Solanum lycopersicum: one gene and its partners. The main gene of each other region encodes a partner of the protein of the gene in region 3 in a complex. Links are inferred from orthologs where the notes say so. Each region holds a gene or a part of one and is shown on either strand. Other genes may lie near its edges.

Region 1 (10,264 bases), on a different chromosome or scaffold from region 3:
TTCATTCCCAATTTATTTAATTAAAATACAATTGGATTAGCCATTTAGGAGCACTTCATAAATCAAAAAGTTTCACCCTCAGGTTAATTCATCTTCAATTTCTCTCTTTTTTTTCTTCATTGTTAACATAACTCATGTGTTTGTTTGTTTTTATCCTAGTTCTATAGAATTTTTGAAATCAAGAGTTTATTTTTATTTTCTGGGTATATATAATAAATGCAGCTCAAATTGAATATTTAAGTTCTGCAGAAAAGCAATATTTGAGTGAATGCATGTTCTCCTTCCTAGATTGTACTTTCTCAGTTGTTAAAATGAAAAAATAATTAAGAAGAACTAAAAAAAGAAAAAGTGAACAAGTATATAGTAGTGTTGTAACAATTTTCAAAAAAAATATCTAAATATAAATGTGTGAACTTATACTTGAAGTATATATAATGCGAAGTGTGATTAATATCAGGTGCACCTCTTTTAAGAAATTTAAATCAAACGTCTCTAACTAAGTAGTAGAAATTCCTATATTTGTAGTAGTGTAATTTATTTAATTTTTGCACCTAATGTGTATATTAAAACTTGTAGTACTAGATGATATTATAGCATACAATCAAGATGAAGTTCAACCGATTTCAATACCTTTAGTAGGAAATATAGCTATATATATAGAAATTAGTACTATTTGAATATATTAAAAAAATAATATTGAACCTATAATTTTTAAAGTTTAACAGATTCATTGATAAAAAGAACCTAAAGATTAAATCGATCAAATTCATATCTCATGTCCATTATTTCGTAATAGTTTGCACCCCTCTTTTTGAAATCCTGCATACGCCTATGGTTCTGTTTGTGGTTTAGTAGACTTAGAAAACATGTACCTAAGCGACTTCTTACCTTTCGTGTTTTCTGCAGATTTTTCTGGCATATGACGACTCCTAATGGAGAAAAGAATTTGTTTACTTCTTGATGTACTTAGTAAGATGAGATACTTTTGTGTTTGCGGACAAGTATCTTATCGAAGAAGTGGAGATATAATTGGTGTAGACTGTCACAGCTGAAGCTTGATCAAACACTTGGGGGAACCTACAGTTCGATTCACTAACGTTTTCTATCTATCACCTTTTGGCCCTTCATGCAGGACCAATTTCTAAACCATCCTGTTCTTTTGACATTTTCTTCCTGCCTAGCTAGTTTATGTTTGCAGGACCAGGTGAAGTACCAACTAAGCTTCCCTCCGCTCTTAAATGCCTTAAACGTCTTTACCTATCTGAACTAGTCGAGGTTGCATGGGCTCTTTGCGCACACTTTCTTATTTTCTTACTCACTAGAGCTTCAGTTTTAAGTTCATAGTGACGTACCTGGTGATCTTTCTGGTGAATTGCTAGATTGGGTTCCTTGGGACACTGTTAATGAAATTCTTGCAAGCTTCCCAGATGTAACGTATAATTACCTCCGGGCAGTTAACGTTACAGGTGTAATGGGACAGTTTTATTGGCCAGTGCTGCTGAGGATGGTGATCGACCCCAATGTAGGAGGAGATGATTCACTCGACGATAACAAAATTTCAGCGGGCATCACCGTAAGCAGAACTTATATATAAAATGTGAGTGCGTATCCTGGTTACAAGCCTGCTTGATGTTCACACCATTATTTTTGGCCAAAATGTTTTGAAAGCTTCAGTGTATATAGAAACACATGTTTTTGCCGTATTATGTAATGCTGACTCGGTGAGAAAACTCAGTTTGGGAACTGGATGGGTGTTTTGGCTAGTGTATCTATATGCATAACATACTTGTTCAAAGGAATGAATGGAACCTGAAGCTCTTCCATGCAAAATGTTCAAAATACATCCACCAGAGCAGGGAACGGAATGGAGAATCTTAATAGAAAAAATGAAAATTAAAATAAAAGAAGATCGTTCAACATTGTTTAATATCTACTAATGCCCCTTAACAAAGAAATTTTCTCAAAAACTGTACTCTTCTCGACTTTCATGGTAGTAAATCCATGCTTAGATCTGTTGCTATAAAATTTAGCAAGCTAATTTCTTCAACCATTTTGAGTAAGAAAAGCACCTAATGGCAGAGTCAGCACACAGTTTAGTGCTCCAGATGGAAGACATATTCAGTCAAGCGCTGTAATTTACTGGGGTCTAACTTCTGTTCTGTTAGAACTGCTTGTTTCTTCACAGTAAGCATTTGAGATGCCGAATCCAAAGCCCAACCCTGTTGCAGCACATCTGAAAGGGAGACGACAAACTTATTGTTACCAAACAGTGAAAACTTATGAACATATTGTGGTTGGGATGCAGTGATAAATGGATATGCATTTGAAAGAATTCACTGTATGTGCTTCTTAACATTTGTATGTGAACCTATTTTAATTAGTTAACCGCTTCAAACAAATCGATCTGATATTAGAATTATCTTACATACCCTTTCAAACTCAATAATCACCTTCAATCCACCAAAGAGATTGCTATTAAAGTTGAGCTACATGAAAGTTGGAAGTACTATTAATTCACTTCATTGCCGGAAAATCGAAGACAATGTTACTTTTGATAAGATTAGCTTTTTCCAAATTACAGTTTAGACCAGTGTATGACTCCAAAACTAATCAGTTCACTTGTTCTCTATCAGAAAGTTCAAATTGATCATTAATGGAAGTGCCAACTGCAAGATTAGATAGCCTCATTAGGATAATTAAGATTAATGGAAAGTTGAATTTGGAAAAATTAGGACTCTTTTTTTTTCATAAGTGGAAAAATTAGGACAATTTATTAGCCTAATTGCTGAATTGATGGGCATCCCAGATGTATCGGTTAATCCTATCAGAGGAACTAAAGGAGATGTTAAGAAACTCCCCCCGCCAGGGGTGTGAAATTGATAAAGGAACAACTACCAACACATCAAAGAGCAGAGTTTGAGATATGAGAGAGCCTTTTCAGAAGGTTTAGAAAGTAACATTTTAGCATGACTTTTAAAGGTGAAAGGTGAAAGGATACCTGACCAATCAAGTCCAAATTATAGTCTGCTAGACAATGAAGAGAATGGAGACGATTCTCCTTGCAGACACAACAAGGATTCCTTATGACAGACACTAGTTCATTTAGTCCTCTTATGTACACAAAAAAGAACTTTACGACTACAAGCATGCACGCTGTAGATAAAAACTTACAGTTTGTAGCATCATTTTCATTCATTCCCAGGAAGTGAGCTGAGTCTTGTGTGCTAATGGTTGAATAAGCGGAAAGAAGGAGCTCGAACATCCTTTTTCTGTATAATTCTGCAGAAGGATGAAAATGATATGAAAATCAAATATACAGCAAAATAAGTACCCACATGTATATCTATGCGTCCTGTATAGAAAAACCACAAAGAAAACAATGGGGCACAAGAACTTCTTCAAGTTTATGTTTACATTATATGGCTCCCTTCACAGATTTGTGTAAAAGCTTTTCTTAAAAAATTGCTAGCAACTATTCGGACATTTCCCCAGCAATGTGGTCTAATATTTAAACAAATAACCAACTTAAATTAAGGATATATGTAACCACCACCCCCTACAATAATGTGCTAACAATCATTTTATTTTCTTACAAATACAGCCCCAATTAATATGGCAGAAGAAAATAATAATTTGGTGAAGTATAGTTTCACCTGACGTCACAAAAATATAATGCTGCATGAATTACAAAACACAAAAATAGTACTAAACTAATTTACTTCTAACCACAACAGAAGATCCTAGAGTCGGAACTAAGCATGCTGAAAATTCTGTTGCGCTCCTCTCCATCAGCATGGTCTGAAAACAACTTCATTTATGCTGCTTTGTCTACCACAGGTCCATAACCAATCCTCCAGACAGAACATTTCAACATAGATTGAGTAATCACTTAATCTTTTTGGTATATGTCTACATCAGTTTATCACTTAATCCTTGACCTCTCACCAAAATGTAGTAGTATAGTTTTGTTTTTTATATAGGTGGGATGAAAGCAATATGATGGAATTAGTATTACTGTGTGTCTTATTAGTAGAAAGTTACATGCCAAATTATCCTTTATATGTGGAAAGATATTTTTCCTCAATAGCTATCTTCCCAAAGTCAAGTATATAATAAATTCAATGAATCTGGAGAGTTACCCAATAATTAAAACAACCCAAGACTCCAACTAATTCACCATCAGTAAATGGTGTACAAAGAAAGAGTATACAGTCCTTGTTTTAGTAAATAAAACGCCTTGTCAAAGTTGCGCATGCGGAAAACAAAGAACCAATTAAGCTCGTCCAACTCATATAAGGAGTAATTGACAAAAAAAGAACACACAGCAAAATCAACAACGAAGAAAAATAGGATGGGGAGACATAATAGGAGCATTATCCACAATTATCTAGGTCAATAAGTACATACATATCAAGATTCAAGCATGGAGATGATACTGCAACCAACAATCCAACAATCATGACATCAACCAGGAACGAAATTGACACGTTGTGATTGGGAAAGGCATCACCATTATGATCTCCTTTCAGGGGATCACGCCAGTAAATACATCCTAAGTAAACCCATACTAAATAATTGCTTATACTGACTATTTCATACCAAACAGCCAATGGCCTTGCTAACAAAACATATCATTTTCAAATTTTTTGATGTTGTACCAAGATGTATTGACCTGTAGAGAACAATTCTACCAGCCCACTTAAGATGATTACCTGAAAGTGGGCACTAGACTTCAAGATAAGATCAGAGAACATCATTGTAGTCTCAAGCCATTATCAAACTCCAATAGCTAATCTTTGACTGCAGCCCAACTATGTGATTTGTGCAGATCCATAGATTCTACTAATTCACAACAATGGCAATTTTGTTGTTAATCCTTTACTTGATCCACATTCTATCTTAACCCAGAAGAGAGGCTAGACTCCTTTGGCAAAGTGGCACTTCTTATAAGTCACAATTCTTAGTTGTAGCAGCAAAACCTTCTATGCTTTTGACAGGCACAGAAAAGAATTTTAATTCCTTCCAAATGCCAACTATAGTATAAATTTACTAGATAGAACCTTCGAAATATAATCTCAACACTTTTATTTTTTGACAATGGTAAAAAATCTCAACACTCACTTTAACTTCTCCCTTTTTATTTCAAAACGAGAGGTGACACTCCTCTTGCACCACTATAACTTAGAGATGCTATGTCTTAGTTGTTCACATATTCAACGTTTTACCTACTCAATGGGTTCTTTCATCTTCATCATTCAGAACCCTATAATCCTATGGATTGGACAAGCAAAAACAAATCTTGGGCTGTTGCTAGGACTTATACAGTACAGTATGTAAAGCTTCTAACCAGAACTGATTAGACGACTAGAATTAAATGAAGCCAATCAAATTTTAAACAAAAAAGGATGATCAACTAAGTCTCTACCGTTTGTTCTATGGAGAATAAAGATAAACAAACTTGCCTGCAAAGGAAGCCACAAAGGGCTGAATCTCAGGACTCCAGCTGAATCCACGAATAGCCTCATGTACACCGACATAGTCCCTTGTCCAAAGTTTCTGCCCAATCCTCCAAACAGCCACCACCTCTGGTCGGGCTTCTTTTACAGCTGCAGGTATCTTCTTCCACAGAAATCGCGCACTATTACTGCAAAAGTAAAACAATAACAATGTAATTCTAAATCAATTCCCTAACATCATCCAACTTAAAACCCTAAAATTCCAAAGTAAAGTTGCAAATAAGAGATTACATGTCATTGCTGTAAATATGACCTAGAAGGTGAATCGCGTACGGCCATTCATCTTGAAATTCGATTCCCTCAGCGGCACCCTATGAATACAAATAAAGCGAATAGAAACATTAGGTTTCACTCTTAAATCGACTGAAAGAACTACACTAGAAAGACGATAAATAAAGAGAAAAAAATAGGGAGAAATTGCCTGGAGCATGAGATCATCACAAATATCAGCAATCTTGTCGTAGAAGCTGGACGCCAAGGCTTCGTTGAGTTGAGAAGTATCCATTGAAGCGCACTGTTTTTTTCGTCGTCGATTCTCCTTCTACTCCGTCACCGACTCCCCGCTGGGTGATCGGAATTACAATGTATTAAATAGTTTCGGCTTTTGGTTATTGGGCCTTTGGGCTACTTAAAGGTGATTTTCATATCCGGATACTAAATAACAAAAATACTAACATTTTTCACGACACATGTTTCTTGTTTCTTGTTTACGTGTAGAGAAAAAACATAAAGTTATTACTGAAGTTCGTTTTATATTTTTATAAAGATAATTTATCTTTGAAAGTGTTATATCACTCTATAAAAAATTTTAATATCTTTGTAAATGAATCATTTTGACTCATTTCCTTGTCTTGATTACTGCGCGTGATGCTCATTTTTTTTGATCCGTTTAGCCCAATCTAATTTTTTTATAAAGTAGAAAAATGTTTTTTTTCCTTGGTTATTAGTTAGCTTTCCAATTCTTTCAGATTTTCTTGTTTTTCTTTCAAGGAACTCGAGAACAAGAGGAAAGACAGAGCTCAGGCAGCATATGAGAGAGGAGAAAGCAGTTGGAAAAACTTAGAGTTAAGGCAAAGAAAGCTGCAGAGGAGAAGCTTGGACCTCAACTCGCCATCATTTCTCCAATCAAGTATTTTGAATTGGTACGTCATTTTTTCGAAATACAATTTTGTTGAAGATTGATAAATAATTTTAATGTCGGCCTTTTTTTAATTATATTGTCCTCCTGAGTAGTGTATTTTCAGTTAAACATTTGAGAGGACTCTCAAACTTTTATTCTTCATTGTTTTTAGTAATGAAATTGAATCTGATGCTTTTAGTGATACACCCAAAAAAACCATTTTATTGAAAATTTAAAGAGAAAGAATTCCTACATTATTGCTTTAGGAGAAGATTATGTATTTGTCAAAAAGAGTGTATCTGATCTTGCTTTAGAGAAAAAAAAATGAAATCATAAAGAGTGGCTATCAATGGCTATTTTGAGTTTAAATTTGGGAAAGATAAGGTAAACAAATTAATAATTAATAATAAAGAAATAAAGCGACATGTGTTACTTTTAAGCTGGTTAATGACAGTGAAAGCATTGTAGCACAGATTTATGTGCGTGGTCACAACCCAAACAAGGAAATGGGTCAAAATGGCTCATTTACAAAGATATTAAAAAGTTTTGTTGGGAGATAGGACACTTTCAAAGTTCAAGGGTCTTTATAAAAATACGTGACAAATTCAGTGACAACTTTATGTCTTTTCTCCATGATTGTATTATGATTTCCTACGTAGAAGGCACTATAAATTAATATATATATTAAAATGTTAATATTGCACGAGCCTATATTGTAAATCACATACCTCGTATGCCAGGAGGGATAATATGTGTTTCTTTTAAATAACACACAAAAACTTACACACATATCTTGTCATCATCCCATATTATCTATCAAATTTCTTTATCTTCACAAATTATGAAAAAAATCATAACAAATTATAACAAGTTTTTAAACATCATAACAAATTATGAAAAAAATATAATTTAATTTATATCGTATAATTTAGGTTCTACGGATTTTTATAGTGGGTGAGATAAAAGTATTAAAATTTATATTGAATAAATTAGTAAAACATCATATTTAAGAACAAAAACTAAAATTGACACCAAAATAAGGACAACACTACATGATATTGAAGTATATAGTTGGGACATTTACTTTGTAAAATGTTTGACTAACGTATTTTTATTTGGACATTACAGTTTAACTTTATAATTAATTTTAGTATATTAGATTAAGAAACACGAGATGAAACAAATTTTGGTTCAATAATAAAGTAAAATTCAGTATGAGTATACTATTTTCTAAATATAAATTTATGTTGGGTATGTTTTTTCAAATATAAATGGTTTAAAAGTGGATAAGAGTAATGATATCTAATTATTTTAGTGATAGAACTTAAAAGTGACAAGTTACAACTGATGTACATGATTTAAAGGTTAGTAGGATAATAATAATATCAATATCAAAGAAATGGTAATAAATATTTAATAATTGATATTTTTGTTATAGAATATAAATTTGTGCATCAATTTTTATATTTGAAAAATACAAAATTATGATATGAAATCTTCAAATCAAGGTTTTTAGAGAATTTCAATATTCTTCTCATGATTTCCAAATATTAATTTCATATCTTGATTTCAAATCAAGGAATGAAATTATATGTCCAAAACACCAAATTATTGTTAGTCTACCATACAACGAAAAAGTAAAGAAAAAGAAATAATTTTGTTGAAATAACATTTACGTCATTAATAAAGCTTGATTATTTATATTATTCTCACCGGTTACTGGAGTAGGTTGAATACCACGAAGTTTCGAGTTCAAATCTTAAATAATAATTTTTTGCCCTTCCATTTATAATGGAGTTACAATGATACTTGTTGTTGGTAGAAGATAACAAATATTCAATAATTGGTTGTAGACCACGATTATAAAAAATAATAGTAATGAATATAATACTTACTTTGATATGAATCTAGGTTATTACATTATGGCGTTGTATAGTAATAGATATTAGTTGTTTAGATTTGAGAAAATGGTCAAATTCCCCCTTAAGCTATGATCGGATTCTCAACTATATACTTATCCTTCACGGGAGTTCTATCACCCCTAAACTGTTTAAAACTAAAATTATTACCACCCGACATGCTTACATGACAAAGTGAGTGTATTGCACTCTCCTTGAGAGAGTGAAGATAAAAATCAACATTATAATCAACAAAATTCAAATAAGAAGATCAAAAGACACAAATCTATAAATTTTGATCTTTTAACCTTCAACAAAGTTTTTACATGACGAATCAATAAGGAAAAAAAATGTTTTTAATAAATTTTTCACCTGTCAAACGCGTGCATTTCACTTTATCAACATAAATGTGATTGTAACTTTTTAGGGGTGTAATTATTTTTATTTTTAACAGCTCAAGGTGGTGAGAGAATGCCGGTGAAATTCAAATGTGTAGTTGAAAATTTAAGTATAGATTAAGGGAGCATTTGATCATTTTATCTTTAAATTTAGGGATAATGCCCAAGTACCCCCTCAACCTATGCCTGAAATCTCAGAGACACACTTATACTATACTAAGGTCCTATTACCCCCCTTAACTTATTTTATTAATAATTTTTTACCCCTTTTTAGCTTACGTGGCACTATCTTGTGGGTCCAACGATGGTTGACTTTTTTTTCCGAACTAGTGCCACGTAGGCTAAAAAGGGGTAGAAAATTACATATAAAATAATTTCAGGGGGTAATAGGACCTTAGTATAGTATAAGTGTGTCTCTGGGATTTCGGACATAGGTTGAGGGGGTACTTGGGTATTTTCCCTTAAATTTAAGCATTTGATCATTTTATCTTTAAATTTAGAAGCAGTTTTAGCCATTAAAGAATTTGTAATTTGCAAAAAAAAATAAATAATTGTTATCAAAGTGAAAATATATCGGAATTTGATTTGTTTGTTCGTGAATATTAATTGAAATTGATTTTAAACTTTTATTAATAATCGAAGAAACAAAAGTCACATTTTTTATGATAAAACATAATTTTCGATATTCAATTCTTCTAAAAAGCAACAATTATTTATAGTTGAACATCAAAAAAAATTCGTATATTATTACATAAAAATAAAAAAATATATTATTTACATATTGGATCTGTGCAGACGCAAACTCTGATATTGAGTATTTTGCTGTTACGTTAGAAAGTATATAAGTATTTGTTGTATCTTAATTTATGTAACACGTTTTGTTTATCTAGAGTCAAACAATTTTTTCTCAAATTTTTTAAAATGAAATAAAGTCATTGGAGCTGGGCCGGGAAAACCCACCTAAAAGAAACTGGGCCAATAATCCCTAAATCCAGCCCATTCAACTTCGCTACTTATATAAACCTAAATGTTTCACTAGGGTTTTTCACTTTGAGCGAGTCCCCCATAGTTCCTCAGTAGCCGTCCCTTGCAGGTATTTTCTCCCTTAATCTTCCTGTTTTTATGCATGCTCATTTCTTTGTATCAACTAACAAGTACGTAAATCTGTAATGGTTTTTTCAAATTTTCAATAATCCATACTCTTTTTCAGAATGAATTTGTTTTACATTGTAGAAAATCACAGCTGTTTGACTGTTTTTAGTTGCGTTTATTACTTATTTGTGTGTGTTTACTGGTGTTGTGAGCTAATTGATATGTGTTCATTGGTTACAG
Region 2 (9,696 bases), on a different chromosome or scaffold from region 3:
TTATACAATAGAATTGTATAAGTTGTGTTTCTAATCATATAAATCGAGAGAAAATTGTATATACACATGTAAATACATATATTTTTGTCATATACACTTATAATTATACAATAAAAGTACTCTTCCGCCCAAGTCTCTTTTGTCTCTCTCCTTCTCGTTTTATACAATTTGATTCAATTGTATATTCCCTGCCCAAGTCTCTTTTGTCATTCTCTCTTTCTCATTTTATACAAATTCAAATTGTATATAATCGTCTTATACACTTATAATTATATAATTCATTTTATACATTTCATTTTATACAATTTTATGCCCAAGTCTCTTTTTCTTTCTCATTTTATACACTTCGTTTTATACAATTCGCTTCAATTGTATATGTATAGCAAATTATACATATATATGTTTGCTATTAAATATATTTGTTACAAAGCGCAATTATATGAACTTTGTTATAACATACAAATATAAATTTTATATATGCTACATGTGAAAATTATCCTACATAAATTTGAACCGAAATAATAATTTTATCACTTTTTCTTTTTAAAAAAATAAAATTAGTTCGAAGTTGTGTCCGAGCCCATATACCACAGCGGGCAACAGATTATAAATCGACTTTCAAATCCCTATTTATATGCCAAAATTTTGGTTCATAAGCTCCATTAACGCTTCGAAAAAGAACTCGACGAGACACTCCAAATTGCGTATTCGAGAAGATTAGCTCAGAGATAAACCCTAAATCGCAATGGAGAGTGCGTTCGCTAGTGCCTCTGCGATCAGCGACCAACGCCAGAAAATCGAACAGTACAAGCACATTCTGTCCACCGTTCTTGCATCAAGCGATATCCAACAAGCCAAGCAATTCATCGATCACAGTAAGTTTTTCTCGTTGTTTCATCATAATTTCGCTGTTAATTTTTTGTTCATGTTCTATAATTCTCAGCTGAAATAGATGTTCGAAGATTCATATAGTCAGATTGTAACCGGTTTGAGATTGAGAGGTTGTTTGATTGAGATTGTGTACAATTATGTCGCGCCAGTTATAATCTCATCACAGTTTTGCTGTTAATTTATGTTCATGTTTTATATTTCTCAGTTGAAACAGATGTTAGAATATTTATATAGTCATATTCTATCTGGTTTGGGATTGAGCCATTGGTTGGTTGAGAATGTGTTTGGTTATGCAGTGCAGTTACTGCCTCATTATAATTTTGCTGTTAATTTATCTTCATGTTGTATATTTCTCAGCTGGAATAGATATAGAAGATATATATAGTTAGATTCTAACTGGTTTGAGATTGAGCCGTTATTTTGATTTAAGTTTATTTACGACTATGCAGTTCAGTTACTATCTCATCATAATTTTGCTATTTATTTTGCATTCATGTTTTATGTCTCTCAGCTGAAATAGATATAGAAGATTTATATATTCTCATATTCTTACTAGTTTGGGATTGAGCCGCTGTTTGATTGAGATTGTGTGTGATTTATGCATTGCAGCAACTATTTCATCTCAATTTTCTGTTAATTTTATGTTTATGTTGTAGATTTCTCGGTTGAAATAGATATAGATGATTTATATAGTCAGATACTAACTGGTTTGAGATTGAGCCGCTGTTTGATTAAGACTGTACGATTATGCAGTGTAGTTACTATCTAATCATAATTTTGCAACTTGTTTTATTTTTCATGTTGTATACGTCTAGCTGAAATAATATGTATAGACAATTTATGCAGTCAGATTCCAGTTGGTTTGCGATTGAGCCACTGTTTGATTGAGATTGTGTATGACTATGCAGTGCAATCACCATCCAGCTGTCTAATCTTAATTTTTCCTGTAATTTTTATATTCACGTTGTATATTCTCAGCTGAAATCTAAATAGAATATTTATAGTCAGATTCTAACTAATTTGGGGTTGAGCCGCTGTTGTTTGATTGAGTGTGTACATTATGCAGTGCTATCGGATGACGTGCCCTTGGTGGTATCTAGACAGCTATTGCAGACATTTGCCCAGGAATTCGATAGATTGGAACCTGATGTTCAAAAGGAAGTAGCACACTATACTCTCAACCAGATACAGCCTCGTGTGGTGTCCTTTGAAGAACAAGTATGCTTTGATATTTCTATTTTGTTAATTGTCAGATTCTTGACAACTCCTTTGCAGCCCATAGTGAACGATACTTGGACTTACATTAATGCCTTATATATCTCTAAAATTTGGTGCTTCAGAATGTCACTAGCATCAGTTTGTCTTTATTTTGCTTTGTCTGTTGCATCAGGTGGTGCATATGTATTTGTAAGGGTGTAGCATTTGGATGTTTGTAATTTCATTTCTTAAAACTTCATAAGAGAACAGCAAGAATGCTCTATCAAGAAAAAATACAGAGAGGAACATGGTATGAAGAAAGAGAATTATTGAATCAGCATGACAATATCTCTGCCACCTAAAGAGAAGGCCTGTTTTAACGATTGAAATCACGTTCTTTTACTAATTATGGGATGGGAAGTACTTATCAGAAAAAAGGATGGCAAATTTCCAAATAATTGTCTTTCAGAAAGTAATCTCTTTCTAATTGACCATTAAAGTTAGCATCTCTATTTTTATTAAAACCAGTTAAAATAATAGGCTAGAAAAGAATTTGAGTGTAGTACCAGGAACTCAATACACGGGCCACAACCCACATTGGGACCATGGGGTTGTTTATTATGAAGTGTGTTTTTTGAGTTGGTGTTGGATGGAACTATTGCATTGACACCTTTGATTCCTTTTCGATGGAAGTGATTTTAAGAACTGAATTTTGTGAGAGTGGGCTAGCGCCAAAGTCACAGAATTATTTGTTTATCTTGGGATTAAAAAGTTTTTCCGGAAATCATAGTTATCTTAAAATTTGATGTGTGTCTTGAGTATTTTAGTTTTGAGAAAATGGTACAAATGAAGGTCAAAATTGGAACTCAGCATATTGTCTGTTGTCATCAAGAGATCTCCACATACAGGTTCTTTTGATCTTTTATGTTTTTACTGCCCATTTCTAAAACAAAATCCCATATTTTCAGGTGTTGATCATTCGGGAAAAACTTGCAGAATTATATGAGTCTGAGCAACAATGGTCAAAAGCAGCTCAGATGCTTAGTGGCATCGATTTAGACTCTGCAATGAGGTCTGTGTTACACTTCTACTTATCTTTGCTTGCCTGCTGCTGTGTCCCTTAACTTATCTTTGGAAGCTGAAATTTCTATCTTCGCACTGCTTCTTCTGCAGATTCGTTGATGATACATTCAGAATTTCAAAATGTGTCCAAATTGCTCGTCTCTATCTGGAGGTTGGATTTTTCTTTTTCTTTTCTTTCTATACTTCTAATGCCAAGTAAACATATCCAAGTTAACGATCCTTGTTTGGTTTGGTAGTGCACCTTTCAACTTGCCTGACAATTGATCTGCTCTAAAGAGGAAGAGGCGAAATCAATTCATCAATATATGTGCTGGAGCGACCTATCAATTTTTTTAGTTTGGTTAACTAATTGTTGATATTTATAAGAAAACAATTAATAACTTGCTAGTTTGAGCTATAGGGCGTTGTTGTAGTGCAAGCGTATTGATTACGGGAATATTATACAAAAGGCTTTCTTAAAAATTCTCATAGAATCTAGAATGAAGTTTTGATTCTATACATGCCATATCATGAATTAGTAGCTGCTTCCAATTAAAAGAAATTCTAATTGTGTTGAACTTTCCATTTTTGTAGTAGTTATGGAATCTTCATGAGTAAACTATAGTCCACACAACCATATCTCCCAATTGAAAAAGATAATTACTACATGAGACAACACATTAGATAAAGGAAAAATCTTTCGTTCTTTCTTTTTTATTTCTATATTATATAGGTATGTACAACTTTATCATCAATTTTCTTTACCGATCAAAAGTAGTTTCTAGTATGTTTGCCCAAACTGCTTCAAACACCTAAGGAACCACCAAAAGTTTTTTCTACAAAAAAGAGTTTTTTCTTAGCTGCACCTAAGGGTGTAGCCTAGTGGTCAATAAAGAGGGTTGAGAACTGTGAGGCCTTAGGTTCAATTCCCAGCGGAGACAAAAAAGCTAGGTGATTCTTTTCCATTTTGTCCAAGCCTTGGTGGATTGCATTACCAGTACCTATGTTGGTGGGATGTTGCAGGTATCCCGTGAAATTAGTCGAGGTGCGTACAAGTTGACATGGAAACCACAATTTAAAAAGGAGTTTTCCCTAGCTCCTTCCTTCGCGAGGAGGTTCACAACCCTGCTTAGCGCTCGATAACTTGAATTTTCTGCATAAGATCTAGCAATTTAGTTAAGAGTATTTGTGGTGATAGATATTCTCTCCAATCACCATTTATTTTTCGAAGCACACCACCCTGCCGATTCCCCCTGGCTTGGGTTTCCTATTGAGGATCCGTCAATGTTAAGTTTGTTGGTGTTCCCCGGTTAGAAATTTGGTCTAGTTCTGAATCGGTAAATACTTTCAGGAACGTTAGTAGGTAACAAATGAGTATGCACTGATTTTTTTAAAGAAAAAGGTAACAAATGAATATGTAGCATGTGAGCTCCTTTCTATGTGGCATTTATTCTGCAAGTTGTACCGATGTTGTCTTTCTTCTTGATGAGTAAACCTTTTACGGTTCTAATGTGACTTGTTAACTAGTGTGCTATGTACATTCTAAGTATCTTGGTTTCCTTTCAATTGTATTGTTCTGCTTACTATCAAAAGGAAAATTAGAGTTGTAGATTTGGTTCCTGTACTGCTACTATGCACCCTGCTATTGTCTGCTGTTTATATATATGCATTGATCTGAAAAAGTTCAGTCTACTTCCATTATTTTGGTTCTCTTTGGCATTCTAAGTTTCTAACAGTGTTCCAATTCCTTCTTTGGCAGGATGATGATGCAGTTAATGCAGAAGCGTTTATAAATAAAGCTTCCTTTAAAGTTAACAACATTAAGAATGAAGTATTGAATTTGCAGTACAAGGTTGTTATCATATGATCTAGGGCATTTTTTATTTTTGAGCATGTCACTGTCACTGGCTAATATGTCAACTATTTCCTGAATGATTATTTCAGGTTTGCTATGCTAGGATTTTGGATTTGAAGAGAAAATTCTTGGAAGCTGCCTTGCGTTACTATGACATTTCTCAGATTGAGAAGCGACAAATTGGTGACGAGTAAGTCTTCCAGAAAATACATCATGTTAAAATAATGCTTCTCTCAACGATTTTTGAGTATTTAAAATTGTCTGGCTAGTGAGTGCGTATTATATATTTGCAAGCTCTTAGGAAAAGGTAGCGGACACTTTAACTCTTGTTCTGTGTATATGGGCAATATAATCTGCAATCCAAGCGGAACTGATAAGGTCTACGGCTTAGGAAAACTAAGAATATGCTTATGTTCCAAGATCAAAGGTTTAGCTTTTGTCTTGAATAATGTTATACACATCCTGATGTCTGTGATCTTTCTTGGTACTATGCCTCCTTTATTTAACTGAGCACAGCATGAAGCTTAATGATTCTTTACGCTACAGAGAAATCGATGAAGCTGCCTTAGAGCAAGCTCTGGCAGCTGCTGTGACGTGCACAATTTTGGCTGCAGCAGGTCCTCAACGATCTCGTGTACTTGCCACACTGTACAAAGTAAGGATGCAATGACTTAGAGCTTTAAATGTTTTGATTGTTATTGTCAAAGAGTGCAACTAATGGGCAGGTTGTTGTGGAAGTTATCTTCTGTGGAGTTGTTGAATGAATGATTTAATGGTATTTTTATTTATTTGAGTATTGGGATTAATATTATCATGGCTGTATCTTGAATTATTGAAGTTAGTCATGTCATTTGTAATTATGATGTTATAAGCTATAATCCTTTCCATCCTTATGAGGTATGGTAACCGAGTAAGGTCTGCGTAGACCCCCAGTTGTAAGATATATTCCTTTCTGGAAATCGTGGGCTGCTAAATTCAAAGAAGATTACGCATTGCCTTCTTCCTTAAGGCCCCAGAGTTCGCATCTTTCTTGCGCTTCTCACTTTAGTAACACTGTTTGTAATAACTAATAGCTGTATGAACTTCTAATTCAATGGTTTGATATTTGCTCTCGTTTGCCAAGAATGTGAGACCACTCATGGGAAAGGGCAGGTGCATTGCACCAAGGAAATGGTAACAACTAACCACAAATAGGTGATTTTATATTTGGTGGACATGTCATTCTGTTGTCTAATACCTGCTAAAATTTTGCTGTTACCATAACCTTTGAAAAATTGAGGTTAATTAGTTTTCTCCGGCAACTTCCAGTTGAGATCTGCCACTATGTAGTCATATTTGTATTTTTTTAATGGGTCTCAAATGACTGCCTACACTGATCCCCTCCTATGTGCTATTTGTTCAGTTTTGCTATAACAATTTTTCTTTTTTACTTATTTTGGATAACAGGATGAGCGTTGCTCCAAATTGAAAATCTACCCAATCTTGCAGAAGGTACTTCACTTGCTGCTTCATACAATTTGCATAGTTCTGTCTCCACTCTCTTTACTTGTACCGAGTTGCCTGTATGCTATAACCTCTTTGCATTTGAGTGTGGATTTTTTATGTGCATATAGTGTTGTGTCAGATTTTTTACGTATATACTATTTTTAATAAAATTAAGTTTTGTTTAATTTGAAATATTCAGGTATATCTAGAGAGAATCTTGAGAAAACCTGAAATTGATGCTTTTGCAGAAGAGTTGAAACCACATCAGGTTCCCCCTTTTTTTGGGTATTGCTTTTTTTTCAAAATGTCAAAATACAAGATCTGATATTCGCTGTGTATCTTATTTTTTTGTGTTTCTACAGCAAGCACTTTTGCCTGATAACTTCACAGTTCTGGATCGTGCTATGATTGAGCACAATCTCTTGAGTGCTAGCAAACTTTATACAAATATAAGGTAGAAAGGAAGCTTATCTTTCCCTTGTTTTTTGTGATTTAGATTTTTCATAGCTCATGCTTTTCTATTATCTCAAGCTAAATCCCCTCATTAATCTGTGACAGTTTTGATGAGTTGGGCACTTTGTTGGGCATTCCTCCTCAAAAGGTACCTAATGATGTTGCTAAGCTATTTTTCTTAATTTTTGCTGTTCTTGGGCTAATTATTTGGGTTTTGTTGTCAACCCACTAGCCCGAGTTGATGCATAGCAGTTGCGACTGTTGTAGGAACTATACGAAAATAGGATGTTTTAGCCTTTTAGGGCGGTTCGTGGCTTGGTTAATCTATTTGCAGTAATTCTTAGTGGTCCCCTCTGGACCATTTATTGAGCGACATTTAATTTTCAAAGCAATTATCAAATGAAGAAACAGATAAATTGTTCTCTCATGCTATGCTGCAAAAAGCATATTTCCATCATCCTACTTATGCATTGTTTCTGGGTAAATCCACAAGTCAAGTTTAAACTGTAAACGCTATTAGGATGATAGAGAAGGTGATATTATTTTAATGCATTTTTGAAGTTGATTCTTAGCCTATGCTGCTCAGCCTTTGAGGTCTTCTAGTAGAAATCTGATTTTGAGAAAAAGATGCTGCTTCACAGTATTTGGACATGCCTCTCCCATTCTCGCTTGTTGATTTCCATTTTTAATGTACTAAGATCAGTTTGCTGTTGTCTTGCCTGACAAGTAATTTAAACACCACACAACCAACACAATCTTACATGTCAAATACTGTTTTCTTCAGTGTATTTGGACATGCATCTCCCATTCTTGCATATTGATTTCCATTTTTATGTACTAAGATCAGTTTACTGTTGTGCTTGTCTGATAAGTAATTTAAAACTCCATGTAACCAACGTAATCCTTCATGTCAAAGTGTTGCCATCACTCTTATTGCTTTCCATGGCTGTTTTGGGTACCAAAATCAATTAACGACTGTGCGGCTTCATTTTCATCTGTAACTTATTCTGTTATAACAATTATTGTCATGAAGGCTGAGAAAATTGCTTCAAGAATGATTTTCGAAGATAGAATGCGGGGATCCATTGATCAGGTAAATTTCTCAATTAATAATGCCATCTACTCATTTCTATCTTTGTCCTTGAAAAGAAGAGGAGATGATATTGGGTCATGACTTGTCACTGGCTAACTTTAGGTACAGAGTGTCCATATATGCCATATATACATACTTGAATTCCCTATGCCACCCGTAATGCTGATAGTAATATGCCTGGATTGTAGTTTGATGTGGAAGATATTATCACATACGATAAATTTGTTTTTAACCCATTGTATAGTAATTATCAGTGACTATCACACGAGATGTATTTAACGAGCAATATATGCAAATAATAATATCAAACTGGATAAATATGGTTGGAGACAAAAAAATGAGTTCCATTGTAGTTTTAGCATCTATTAATTTAAGTTGATTTTATTGTCAGGTTGAGGGCGTCATACATTTTGAGGATGACACTGAAGAGCTGCAACAATGGGATCAACAGGTGATTTAGTTTCTAACATGCTTGGAATCTACTTTATGTTTCTTTTCTCATGGAAATCTACCTCTTCCGTTTGAAATCTATTATTATGTCTCTAGATCTAAACATATTCATCAGAGCACTCTTTAATTTGTTGATAACTTGATCAAGTTTTAATATATGTTATATAACATTTTCTGCTCGCCATCAACACCGAAAAAACATTTTTCATGAAAAATGACTTTCCTTATACCAAGCTCCGTCTTTCTTGTTTTCAAGGTTTTATTATTGAAATGATACTAGTGTTGACAACATTGCTAATCTTTGCAGATCATGGGCCTTTGTCAAGCTCTCAATGATGTTCTTGATAGCATGGCAAAGAAGGGGCTCCCTATTCCTGTCTAGTTCATTTTGTGGTCATTTTTGAAGAATCTGGTACGATGCTGATGCACTCCTTCCTCATACCATTTACTGGACTGGCGCCACTCTATACTTTCACCAGTTTTAAAACTTGGCTCGGAACTCGTCTCTTTAAGTTAGATTTATATTGTACATGACACACCTCTCCTCCAGTTCAATGGTTTATTATGGATATAAATGTTAATTTTGTTACATTTCTCTTTTCATAGGGTACTTGTAGGCATTGTATTCTATTCAAATCATAACTGATTAATTTGTGCCATTTCCTGATTTTACCTTCACCGACTGATTATAAAAATGAGCGGACATGGAGTATTATTACTCGGTGTAACTTTTGTAATCTAATTTTCTGTAGTGTAAGCAACTTTCGGTATCATCCACGGCAGTGTTCTAATTTACCAGAGTTTTAACAAGTTCTGGTACACAAGGACATTTTCAAACATTTTCAAATAGCATGAGAAAAGGGAAGAGAGAATAATGATATAATCGAACCCTCGAGGATTATTCTATACAACAAGAATCCCAAGCTGCTGAGGGCAATGTTAATTCCTACAACTCTACTTCACTCTCAAGAGTGTTATTCTACACAATAGGAATTTCAAGTCATAAAGGGCAATGTGATTTCCGGCAACTCTTTTCATTCTCAAGGATGGTCCATCCTGGATGGAACAACTACTAGCTAGAGATCTCTAACATTTGGTTCAGCAGACGATATCAAGCGCATGACAGCCACAGGACGTGCGCTATTACTAATTTTTGACAGGATTTGTGTCAAAAATTCTCATCGGTACCGGTAAGCTATAAACCTTGTTG
Region 3 (10,264 bases):
AGTTGTAACATGGAATTCACAAGACTCAGTGTAAAATATTAATTACTTGGAAATTAGCATGTCTTCCGAGCCACGGAAAATGGTTTCTGGCTTTATGTTGGATTGTGAACCTTTGCTGCAAACTTGGGTGATTATAGGTGGTGTTAAATGCTGTCTCTGTGAATTCCCTGGATGATCTAGGTAACTGTTTTTGGCGGGGTTATCGGAAACCTCTCTGCCTCCGTAAGGTAGGGGTAAGGATGCATATGCACCATCCTTTGCAGACGCCACTTGTGGAATTACATCGGGCATGTTGTTGTTGTTTGCAATCTTGATTACGTTCACATGTTTATGAATTGCTGTGTATATACGTAATGAATGTGATTATTGTCTTGGGATCTTTTTTATTTCAGATTCTTGACACTGTTTGATTCTGTTTTTTTAATTGCAGCACGATGCACATAAAAGTAGCATTAAGAATTTTAATCATTTCTTGAGTGATTTAGATTTGCTTTACTGGTTTTTCCTTTGCTCAGAGAAAATTCTGCATGATGAAGCTCCTGTGGTCACATACAGAATTTTAGGTCACCTGCTCCTGGGTGTGGTTAGAATATATTCGAAAAAAGTGGAGTATCTTTTCAAAGACTGTAATAATGTTCTTGTTAACCTTGCTGATTTTTCAACTCGCAATAGACCAACTAGTAAACCATCAGTTGTAAGGATCGCGGGTATGCATGCTCCTGTCCACTCTATCACCCGACCAAAGAAATTTGAACTGGATACTTTTGATCTGGAAGTCTTGGAAGATCAAGACGCAAACAGGTAAAATAAATACTTTCCATGAATGACGTGGTTTTCCATGTTAATTTGTATGTTTTCCTTTCTCTTTCTCCTTGTGTTTTTTCTGATTGTCGGTTTGGGGTTTAATTATTTCAATCTTGGTTTGCAACAAACTGTTTTGAAGTAGTCATTTCGCATCCCGTGAAGAAATCACGCTTTCCGGTACAGTACATTTCTGTTGTCTTTTAATTCATGGTTACTTTTTTCGGCTTTATGTCACTTACTTTTTTTAAAAGAGAGTTTCTGCTTTTTGTTTCAGATGCTCAGGAAAATTTAGTTTTTGGCTCATCTTGCAAGGTAGTCATTTTATGAAGTATAATCATTTCTTTGGTTTGTTTTGTTAACAGCATGTCTCGGCCTTTGAAACTTTTCCAACAAAAGAAGGCAGCATAAATCACTTTCTGCTTTGTGTTCACTTAATACCACTATCACTGCTTAGCAAGATATACTACTGTTTTCCCTGAATATCTCATAGTTTATGTTAAACTCTTTGCTATATGTTGTTAGAACCTTAGGATTGGTGTAGCACATCGAATCAGTTGATTGATTTTAAATTATTATCTGCAAAGTGGTTAGTGGAATTTGTACTTGTCAAGATACATCATGGATTCACGAATTCACGTAACTGCTTTTCTTTGAACAAGTACTGGACAGTGTTAGTGGTGCTGTGTTTAATTTGAAGAAGTTATTTGATGGATCAAACTGGTTCAAGTTTCTGATGATACTTGAATAAGAATTAGCTTAGAGCCGTAAGCAGTCACCTTCATTTGTTTTTTTCCTGATGATGGCATGGGTTGGTTGGAATTTCGCATAACTACTACTTTCATTTTGTGTGGGTGTTGGGGTTGGGGTGTTCCCGTCTCTATCTCTCAATCTGGTACTGCTGCATGAAAAACTTCAAGCTTTGTTTTCTGTGGATATTCTTGCATACATGACATATAAGCTGCTTTTTTCAGTATGAGGAAGGTGTCTCTCATTCAGAGTTGAAGTCCACAAATCACACTCCAGTTAGAGAGTATGCACTGATCTCGCACCTCTTTAATTAGATCTAGTGCTAGTGCTAAGAATTTAACATTTCATGTTATAGCATATATTCACCTCACCTGATGGACAAAGATTTGGACTTCAACCCATCAGTTGGGTCAAGCCACGTGGAAGCTATGTGGAACCTTAATGAGACTAGATTCTCCTTGGAAGAGCGCTTTGAACCAATGACCTTTGGGGACATTGAAATTCAGATGATCTTTGATAGGAAAGCTGATCACCAGACTGGTGATGAGCAAATGAAAGAGTCGAGTGCTGGGAACTTAGTAAACGAGGAGCATCTTTATGAAAAGAGGTCATCTTTGGAAAAGCACGCAGAACCGATGATTATCACAGAAGCTACATTGGAAATCAACACCGATCAACAATCTGAGAAAATTCATCAGCATACTCGTGAGCTCTTAAAACACCCTGATGTAGGAGTGAATGTAGATGATGAACAACCAGCAGTCCTTGGTGAATCATCTCTTGTGGAAAACTGTGGTTTTGAGCAAAAGAAAAATGTTGAAGCATCTTCCTCGAGGAAAGGGAAGGATCGGACTAAAGTTGATCGATCAGTGTCCCTCTGTATTGATGTATCCCCAGAGACCAAGATCGCAGGTGATTCCTTTATCTGGTTTACCTTGTTCTTTCACATATCTTTTAGTTGAACAGCTGAATCCGACCGGAAATGGAATAAGCTGCACCTGCCACCCCTCTTTTTCCCCTTCACCTAGAAAAAATAAGGAATATGTGTGCCCCTTCTCACCCTTTTTGCTTGCTTGTTGGACACAATCTAATTTGTCCCTTCAGATGCCCAAGCAAATCATGTTCTAAAATGCTTGTTGTTTTAACCAACATCACTTTCTTCTAATTCAGGATCTACATCACCGGATTTTATATCTATTCGCACCCCAGCTAAGAAGGAGCGTAGGCGGATTTCAAGGAAGCGGAAGTGCATATTTGATGAATCTATTGTGATCCCAAATGAGTACGATCCTTTTCTTTATTCAACCTATTGCACTAAGATATCCGTATGCAGGATCTTCTTGTTGTAACCTTCTTTAGTTAGTGCAGTTAAGTTCATCGCATAGTTAGAAGAGATTGATGTGACACAACCCTAACATGCAGGGTATTCAAGCACTGGATTGGCGATGCAAATGACTTAGTTTGCAAGAGAAGGAAATCCCCTCATTCCAGTTATTTTGCATGGAAAGTACATAAAATTTCCTCACTTCCTCAGAGTTTTGAGGAGCCTCTTATTCCTTGTGAGTAAAGGTTCAAACACTGCCACTGCCATTTCCGTGTTTTAGGTAATTTAACTAACCAACTGTGGCAATGCAGGTAGTCTTTCGATTGATATTGCATCAGCAATTAGCAAAATTAGATCAGCACAGCATGGGCCTGCAGAAACAGTAGAAATTCCTCTGCGTGAGGACATGCCAGACTCTCCTTATAAACTCAGATCTGGGGAACAAATACCTATTGCTTCTGCTACATCTATGCATGAGTATTTACCTGAATCTCCTGGTACCCTCAGATGTGGAGAACAAATACCTGATGCTCCTGCGGCATCTCTGCATGTGGGTGTACCTGAATCTCCTAATACTCTCAGATATGATGGAGAACAAACACCTATTGCTCCTACAACACCTGTCACTGGCTCAAGTTCGCTGAGATTTCATGATACGCAAGGAACTTCTAAATCACACATAGAACCAGCAAGTTCAGCTGAAATCACAGAGAAAGAAGCACTTTCCATGGAGGATGTAGAATTTGAAATGAATTTAATGGACGAGGTATGACACGATTGACTAGTCTGATTGCTTACATAAGTAAAGGAAATTGCTTTCAGCTACTGAAGTGTATTGTGATGATTATTAACTTTTTTTGGAAATAAAAAAGTTCTATTGTCTGTATCTGTTATTGCAATGCTAATAAGTGCTAACTGCAACAAATGCGCTCTTTCCTCAGGAGATCAATTCATTTGAAGGGGATACCTCAGGAAAATGTAAGGAAGTACTGTTTTAGTGGTGCAATATTATTTCAATTGAGTTGCCATTCTCATAAGTTGTTGTCTTGGTTGCAGGCAAATATTCCCTGAGAACAGGGTATGATGAATAAGGGATCTCAGTTTCAATTCTTGCATCCCCTTGTCTGTGGCATCTTTTGGTTATGACTCTCAGAAATTTGTGAAAATTCATTTCTTCTGTTTTTGGCGGTGATCCAATTTTTGGCTTTTTGCATGCAGAAAGGTCGCAAAATTCCTGTTTGAAAACTTCCTTGCTCGGAAGGGGAAGGAGGAGGTAGAAGTTGTCAACTTGTCCTTGCTTATGAAGGGGAAAACAAAGGGAGACAGTGCAAGGGTGTTCTACGAGATACTGGTATTGTTTTTAGGTTCCTTTCATCTTTCTGGTAATTTTAGGTCTGCCAAATTGAACTTGTGGATGAACGGAATTATTTGATACATATTTTGAGTAGCGCTTTCAGCAGGAGTTTTTGTCCCTTGTTTCCCTTCTGTCAAGCATCCAGGATGTGCTCTAGATGGTGGTGCTTAAAAAGGAATTTCTTTGGTTCTATTGTTGTTAAATGCCCCCGTGTTTCTTGGCCTATAAACATTGGTTATAATGGACGGACACATGAATTTATTTTACGCATTTGTCTCTGGTTTTACGTAAATATAATCCAACGTAAGATATATACATTGTGAATTATTTACAATGCTTATTTTCCACGCAGGTTCTGAAATCAGGAGGCTGTATAGATGTGCGGCAGGATGATGCCTACAGTGACATTCTTTTGCAAAAACTCCCAAGACTAAAGCAGACCTTTGAAGCTGAGTCCTGAATCTATATATATATGTTCACAAAGAGAGCTGTGTTGGTAAATAGTAGCCAGAGGAAACAATCACATGACATATATGCTTTTATATATGTTTGGTAGTATATATGAGTGGAAGAGCGCTTTTCTTTGCTAGCTATTGCTCTTCCTCCTTAACATGAAGGCAAGTTAGGTTATTGTTAACTATTATGTCTTCTATCAGGAATTAGTTGAATTTATTGTCAATGTTTTGGTTTATAACTACTACTGGTGCCCAATTTAACCACTTGTGAAAAGCTATTACTCCAATTTTCTTTAACATCAAATACACGAAAAGGCTTTTTATGAGAAAATTGTATACCCAATATATATCTGGAAGTGGTTATAGAAAAATATTGCTCTACAATGTTGTCAATTCATAGGCGTTTTAATCAACAATGAGCAATAATAGTTGTGACTTATGTCGTATAAATATCATGTTACATTTGTATTTGTGAGTTTTAAAAAGCTTTTATCGCGAAAAAAAAAAAAAAAAAAGACATGGTAGGAGTAGGACACAAAGAGGTCTTTCGTGTCTTTAAGTACTCATAGAATAAAAATTAGTTTATGCATAAAAATTTTGATGTATTATTTGATTGTCAAATTCGAAATAATTTATTCCTCCAATTTTATATGTAATGGAAGAAAAAAAATTAAAATAATTTTTAGGTATTTTTAAAATGTTTAATAATTTCTTTTTTAAAAAGAAGTTTTTGTAATCTCTTTATATAAATTTAAATTTAATAAAAATAGATGAAAACCCAATCGCTCTTTATTTTTAATTTATATAAGAGAAATAAAACTGGACATAAAAGAAGTCCCAATTATTTCTTTTTATTTATTACCCAGTCCAGTTGAAGCCTCGTCTCTTAGACGTGAATCTGCTGAAACTCATAAGTGTGTTGATTGGGCGAGAGAGATGAATCTGAACATGAATTCAATGGAATCAGTGGTTGCTCAAATCCAAGGGCTATCGAGCAATTCATCAGACATAACTCAGCTTCACAACTTTCTCAAACAATCGGAAGAGCTACTCCATTCCGACTTCTCTCGCTTGCTTTCTTCTCTCGCTGAACTCGATCCTTCTATTCACTCCCTAGGTTTTCTCTATATTCTGTAAGTTCCTTTTCATCCTCATCTCTTATTCTTATAACCTAAACCTAGGGTTTCTATTCTGAAGATTATTATTTGTTTAAATTAGCCATTGTTAGGTTATATATATAGATATATTGATTAAAACACCCTGGGCTGTGGCTTAGTCATCGTGGGCTATGGACGATGAGGTTTCATGTTAAAATCCCAATGCAGGTGTTTTTTTCCCATCTGCCCTAACTTTGTTGGACACCTGGTATTGGTACGCGTGGAATTAGCTTGGTGGACACCACGGTGATTATGAAAAAAGAAAAGCTAATTGACAAAGAGGATTGTTATGGTCAACACCAATACATGTAGGATTGAGGCATAGTTGATTGATTGATTACATAATCTATAAAAATAATGCAGAATTGAACCATCCACTGAATTAAAGACCAGTATTTGTGTAACAAGTGCGCGTTGTCTTTTGTACTCTGTCTAGTGTGTATTAATCATATAATTGTGTTTGTTAACTAACAGGGAGGCATGCATCTCATTCCCAGTTGCAAAGGAGCATGTTAGTGAACTGCTTGTTTCTGTCGCTAGATTTATCAATTCATGTTCTACAGAGCAAATCCAGTTGGCGCCCAATAAGTGTAATTTTCTCTGGTTTCTGGAATAGCTTTTGTGAATATTCTTGTTTCTGGTCTAACTTATATTGAGGCACGTCTTCAATTTGTGGTTGCAGTCATTTCTGTTTGTAAAAAGTTCAAGGATCATGTTTTCGGACTGGAAACTCCGATTCGTGGTGTGGCTCCAATGCTGACTGCTATTCGTAAACTGCAATCCTCCCCTGAGCAATTAACAACATTGCATGCCGATTTTCTTCTTCTTTGTCTATTAGCAAAGTGCTACAAAACTGGCTTCTCTGTGCTGGAGGATGACATATATGAGATTGATCAGCCACGGGAGTTTTTTCTCTATTGTTACTACGGGTTAGTTGTTTCAGACTTTCTGCTTAGAAGTTATTTCAGTTGTGTTGGTGTCGTTCCCTTGTTCCGTTCCTTGTTTAAATTTCTCTGTGACTTTTAAAAAAAAAAATTGGAATATTTTTTATGGCAATTCATTAAATCATGCTTTCCTATCAGTGTGTTTTCTAATTTTTATAGGAAAGAGGAACTTTACTCGCCTATGAATATTTGTATTTGCTTGTATAGTTATCTGGTGAAAGAATTAATTTTGTTCAAAAACCCATGGTATTGGTATACAATTATCTACGTCTGCCTTTCTTACCTTTGATATTGTTTAGTTCTCCAACCTAAAGACAAAGTTCTTAACAGCAATGTGAATCACAAGTGATGTATCAATTTAGAATGAGATTGAGTAATTCAATATTTTCTTAATTAAAAAAGTCACTGATATAATCTTTCTATCGCTTTCTGGATTTTTCTGGATTTGTGTCTTATACTTGTTGACATGTCTTATAATTTGAACATAATAACAGGGGAATGGTTTGCATTGGACAAAAGCAGTTCCGCAAAGCATTGGAACTCTTGCACAATGTATGTTACTGTGTTCTCATTCCATGTTTCCTTTATTGGTATTTGGTTTTGTTATTCCCTATTTGCAAGTTACTATATATTATCTATATCTGTCCGTTTGTGCTGATTCTATCTGTTATGCTTCTAGGTTGTGACTGCACCTATGTCTACTCTAAATGCAATAGCAGTTGAAGCTTACAAAAAGTACATTCTGGTTTCACTGATTCATCTTGGGCAGGTGTGTTTTGCCACCATTTTTTACATACTTTTGGTGATAATATTTAGTCAATATTCTTGTGACGTCTCTGTTGGACAACAGTTTGTGAGATCTATGTGTCTTTTCTGGGGCTTGAGCTTGCACTGCCGTATAACCTTCTTATTTTACATTATGTATGATATTATCACCGATGGACTCGTTTAGTTTGAGCCACAATGTGTCAACTTTTTAAAATGATTTTGGCTTGTAATATGCACTTTGAGTAGAGATGTAAGCACCCCCCTCCCCCCCTCACCCAAAACAACAACAAATATGCACAAAGTAAAAAAGAATATGATAGGTCATGTTTCCGATGTTTATTCTTGCTGATTTTCGTTCTCCTGATTAAATTGAGGTTTGCTTATCATGGCAGTTCTCTACCAGTTTTCCCAAGTACACTTCTTCCGTGGCTCAAAGGAACTTGAAGAATTTCTCTCAGGTAATTATTTCAACTGTGCAAACATTGATTCCAAGTAGCACCGACTGTTCCACCCAAAGCAAATTGAAAGGAATATTTTCCCTCAAATGATTTGATGACAATGCAAGCTCAGTTAAGTATGCACAGTTGGCGTTACAATGTTGATGTTAGAAATCTTGTACTGATTCAAGTGTTGTTTCAAAGTATAAGCATTGCATATTTTGTATTAGCACTTAGCAGGCTAGGCATGAAACTACATAAATGATAATGAAACAAGAAATATATCAGTATCTAATAGAAGTGAAAGAAAGAACGCATTTTCGTGTATCGGAAAAGTCACTGTTTAGAGTCCTCAAAATCTGTTTAGTGTACTCAGCGAAGAAATAAGGTGACCAGCTGGAAGCTTCTGAAATCCCAACAATATTTTCTAATATAAAATGAATCCAATTTGGGAGGAGACTGAAGAGACGCCTCATCAAGGATAATTCTCTGTCATGTGTGGTCCTTATGTGTGGAATATAACATAAACTACTTATTATTTCTTTTTGAGCAGCCCTACCTGGAGTTATCAAACAGTTATGGGACTGGAAGAATCTCTGAACTTGAAACATTTGTTCAAACAAACAAGGAGAAGTTTGAAAGCGTAAGTTTTCTTGTGGTCAAACTGGTACATTTCCTGATCTTCTAGCAGCTAAGATGAAAGAGCATGGGTGCAAAGTTCTCAACTCCCAAACTCCCATGTTAGTCCATCTTTTGTGGAAGTTGTAACAATCTTTTCATTATATTTTCAGGATAATAATCTTGGATTAGTGATGCAAGTAGTGTCTTCTATGTATAAGCGCAATATTCAGCGGTTAACTCAAACGTACCTAACTCTCTCCCTCCAAGATATTGCTAACACTGTCCAGCTAAGAGACCCCAAACAGGCAGAAATGCATGTGCTTCAGATGGTATCCTGCTTTTTGATCTTGGATTGTGTAAGCCTTCAACTTTGAAACTTGAAATGCTGATGTTTCACTTTTGGTTATAGATTGAAGATGGTGAGATATATGCAACAATCAATCAGAAGGATGGTATGGTTAGATTTCTGGAGGATCCTGAGCAGTATAAAACGTGTGGAATGATTGAACATATCGATTCATCAATTAAGAGGTAAGACTTCTGTTACTTCGGTCATTGGATATGGATATTCTACATTTTACTTGTAATTAGACGGTAATTTTTCTGTCCAATGTGGTGGCTATAGGCTATAGCTACTGATTGGCTTTTTAAGAATTTAAATGTTATCTCAAACTCCAAATAAAGTTGGAATGAATTTGAACTTATGCACATGGTACTAATGATGGATGTCATGATATGCGCAAAAGAATGCCAATTTCCATCCAGCAATTTGGATATCTGCACCAATTGTACCTACATAAGGGAGATGTTTCTAAAATACTAGCGAGTGAGGGAGGGTGAAATTAAAATTTAGTAATGTTGTACATAAATAGGTTGGAAATTTTACTTTGCATCGCTTGGGGGTTATTTGGTTGGAAACTAGTTATCCCAGGATATCCTGGGAGGGATATAACTTATCCTACCATGTATATAGGATAACTTATCCCATCACTATGCTATAAATGGTGGTAAAAGTTATTTCAAACAACACATTTAAATTTTATCCTTGGACTAATTTTTTATCCCAGGACTATTTATGCTTATCCCTCACACCAAACGAGCCCTTATTGATAGTAGGGTAAGGCTAAAGGGTAGGGTTCTCCATTAGATTTACTTTAATCTTTTCATCTCTATCTCTCTGTGTACATATGTTCTAAAGAATTTTACAATATGTGAATGAAACTTATGTCATGTGATCCTATGTACATATGTTCTAAAAACTACAATGATGTATGTTTTTCTATTGCAGATTGATGGCAGTGTCGAAAAAGTTGACGTCTATGGATGAACTTATGTCATGTGATCCTATGTACCTAGGAAAGGTAAAACTATGTCAAAGTCCTCTTTCGCTAACTGCTTAATATAACAACTGTATTTTTCACTAATTTAATGTGTTTACTTGCTATGCAGGTTGGTAGGGAGAGACAGAGATTTGATTTTGATGATTTTGACGGTGTTCCTCAGAAATTCACTATCTGAGACTAGCAAAGTTCAGTTTTCTGAGTAAATATGGCAAATGATGCTGATATGTTCATTTGAAATATAAGCAAACTTTATTCCATTGACCTCAAGAAATGGCTAAGGAAATAGGTGTATTTAACTCCTGGTTCAATC

The links.
Region 1: the proteins of CSN3 (region 3) and COP9 signalosome complex subunit 8 are in contact, whole or in part, in a cryo-EM structure (PDB 9IS6), measured with the Arabidopsis thaliana proteins. The link is inferred for Solanum lycopersicum from reciprocal best matches to the Arabidopsis thaliana genes COP13 and COP9. Residues at the interface, in NP_568296.1 of Arabidopsis thaliana: Asp121, Leu123, Arg124, Pro128, Ala157, Lys158, Gly193, Leu194, Lys195, Lys332, Glu335, Met336, Leu339, Gln340, Ile342, Gln343, Ala349, Leu350, Ile351, Asn352, Gln353, Lys354, Asp377, Ile380, Gln381, Ile384, Lys388; in NP_193147.1 of Arabidopsis thaliana: Met26, Leu27, Ala30, Ser31, Gly33, Ile34, Glu35, Tyr36, Asp56, Phe60, Arg64, His89, Tyr91, Leu125, Ser128, Ala129, Tyr130, Ser131, Thr132, Ile133, Thr134, Asp137, Phe141, Met166, Arg187, Glu190, Tyr191, His194.
Region 2: CSN3 (region 3) and CSN4 share a complex: the UniProt entries of both Arabidopsis thaliana proteins name them as parts of the CSN complex. The link is inferred for Solanum lycopersicum from reciprocal best matches to the Arabidopsis thaliana genes COP13 and COP8.

The regions. Positions count from the first base shown.
Region 1 is NC_090800.1:89,065,692-89,075,955, reverse strand, and holds COP9 signalosome complex subunit 8, read right to left. Parts: upstream 6,161-10,264; 5' UTR 6,022-6,160; coding exon 5,938-6,021; intron 5,828-5,937; coding exon 5,748-5,827; intron 5,645-5,747; coding exon 5,463-5,644; intron 3,280-5,462; coding exon 3,172-3,279; intron 2,234-3,171; coding exon 2,094-2,233; 3' UTR 1,800-2,093; downstream 1-1,799. UniProt on the Arabidopsis thaliana protein: Component of the COP9 signalosome complex (CSN), a complex involved in various cellular and developmental processes such as photomorphogenesis and auxin and jasmonate responses.
Region 2 is NC_090803.1:66,280,249-66,289,944, forward strand, and holds CSN4 (COP9 signalosome complex subunit 4), read left to right. Parts: upstream 1-636; 5' UTR 637-745; coding exon 746-875; intron 876-1,957; coding exon 1,958-2,109; intron 2,110-3,056; coding exon 3,057-3,160; intron 3,161-3,261; coding exon 3,262-3,322; intron 3,323-4,909; coding exon 4,910-5,002; intron 5,003-5,094; coding exon 5,095-5,195; intron 5,196-5,551; coding exon 5,552-5,660; intron 5,661-6,451; coding exon 6,452-6,496; intron 6,497-6,689; coding exon 6,690-6,758; intron 6,759-6,852; coding exon 6,853-6,944; intron 6,945-7,048; coding exon 7,049-7,091; intron 7,092-7,976; coding exon 7,977-8,036; intron 8,037-8,427; coding exon 8,428-8,487; intron 8,488-8,793; coding exon 8,794-8,868; 3' UTR 8,869-9,200; downstream 9,201-9,696. UniProt on the Arabidopsis thaliana protein: Component of the COP9 signalosome complex (CSN), a complex involved in various cellular and developmental processes such as photomorphogenesis and auxin and jasmonate responses.
Region 3 is NC_090801.1:70,961,067-70,971,330, reverse strand, and holds the start of CSN3 (COP9 signalosome complex subunit 3), read left to right. Parts: upstream 1-5,346; 5' UTR 5,347-5,620; coding exon 5,621-5,817; intron 5,818-6,315; coding exon 6,316-6,431; intron 6,432-6,523; coding exon 6,524-6,770; intron 6,771-7,279; coding exon 7,280-7,337; intron 7,338-7,464; coding exon 7,465-7,554; intron 7,555-7,945; coding exon 7,946-8,011; intron 8,012-8,543; coding exon 8,544-8,633; intron 8,634-8,781; coding exon 8,782-8,940; intron 8,941-9,020; coding exon 9,021-9,142; intron 9,143-9,899; coding exon 9,900-9,972; intron 9,973-10,060; coding exon 10,061-10,129; 3' UTR 10,130-10,264. Other genes in the region: sister chromatid cohesion 1 protein 2, read left to right, coding at 516-801, 944-981, 1,079-1,116, 1,776-1,834, 1,907-2,463, 2,722-2,833, 2,974-3,110, 3,187-3,641 and 4 more. UniProt on the Arabidopsis thaliana protein: Component of the COP9 signalosome complex (CSN), a complex involved in various cellular and developmental processes such as photomorphogenesis and auxin and jasmonate responses.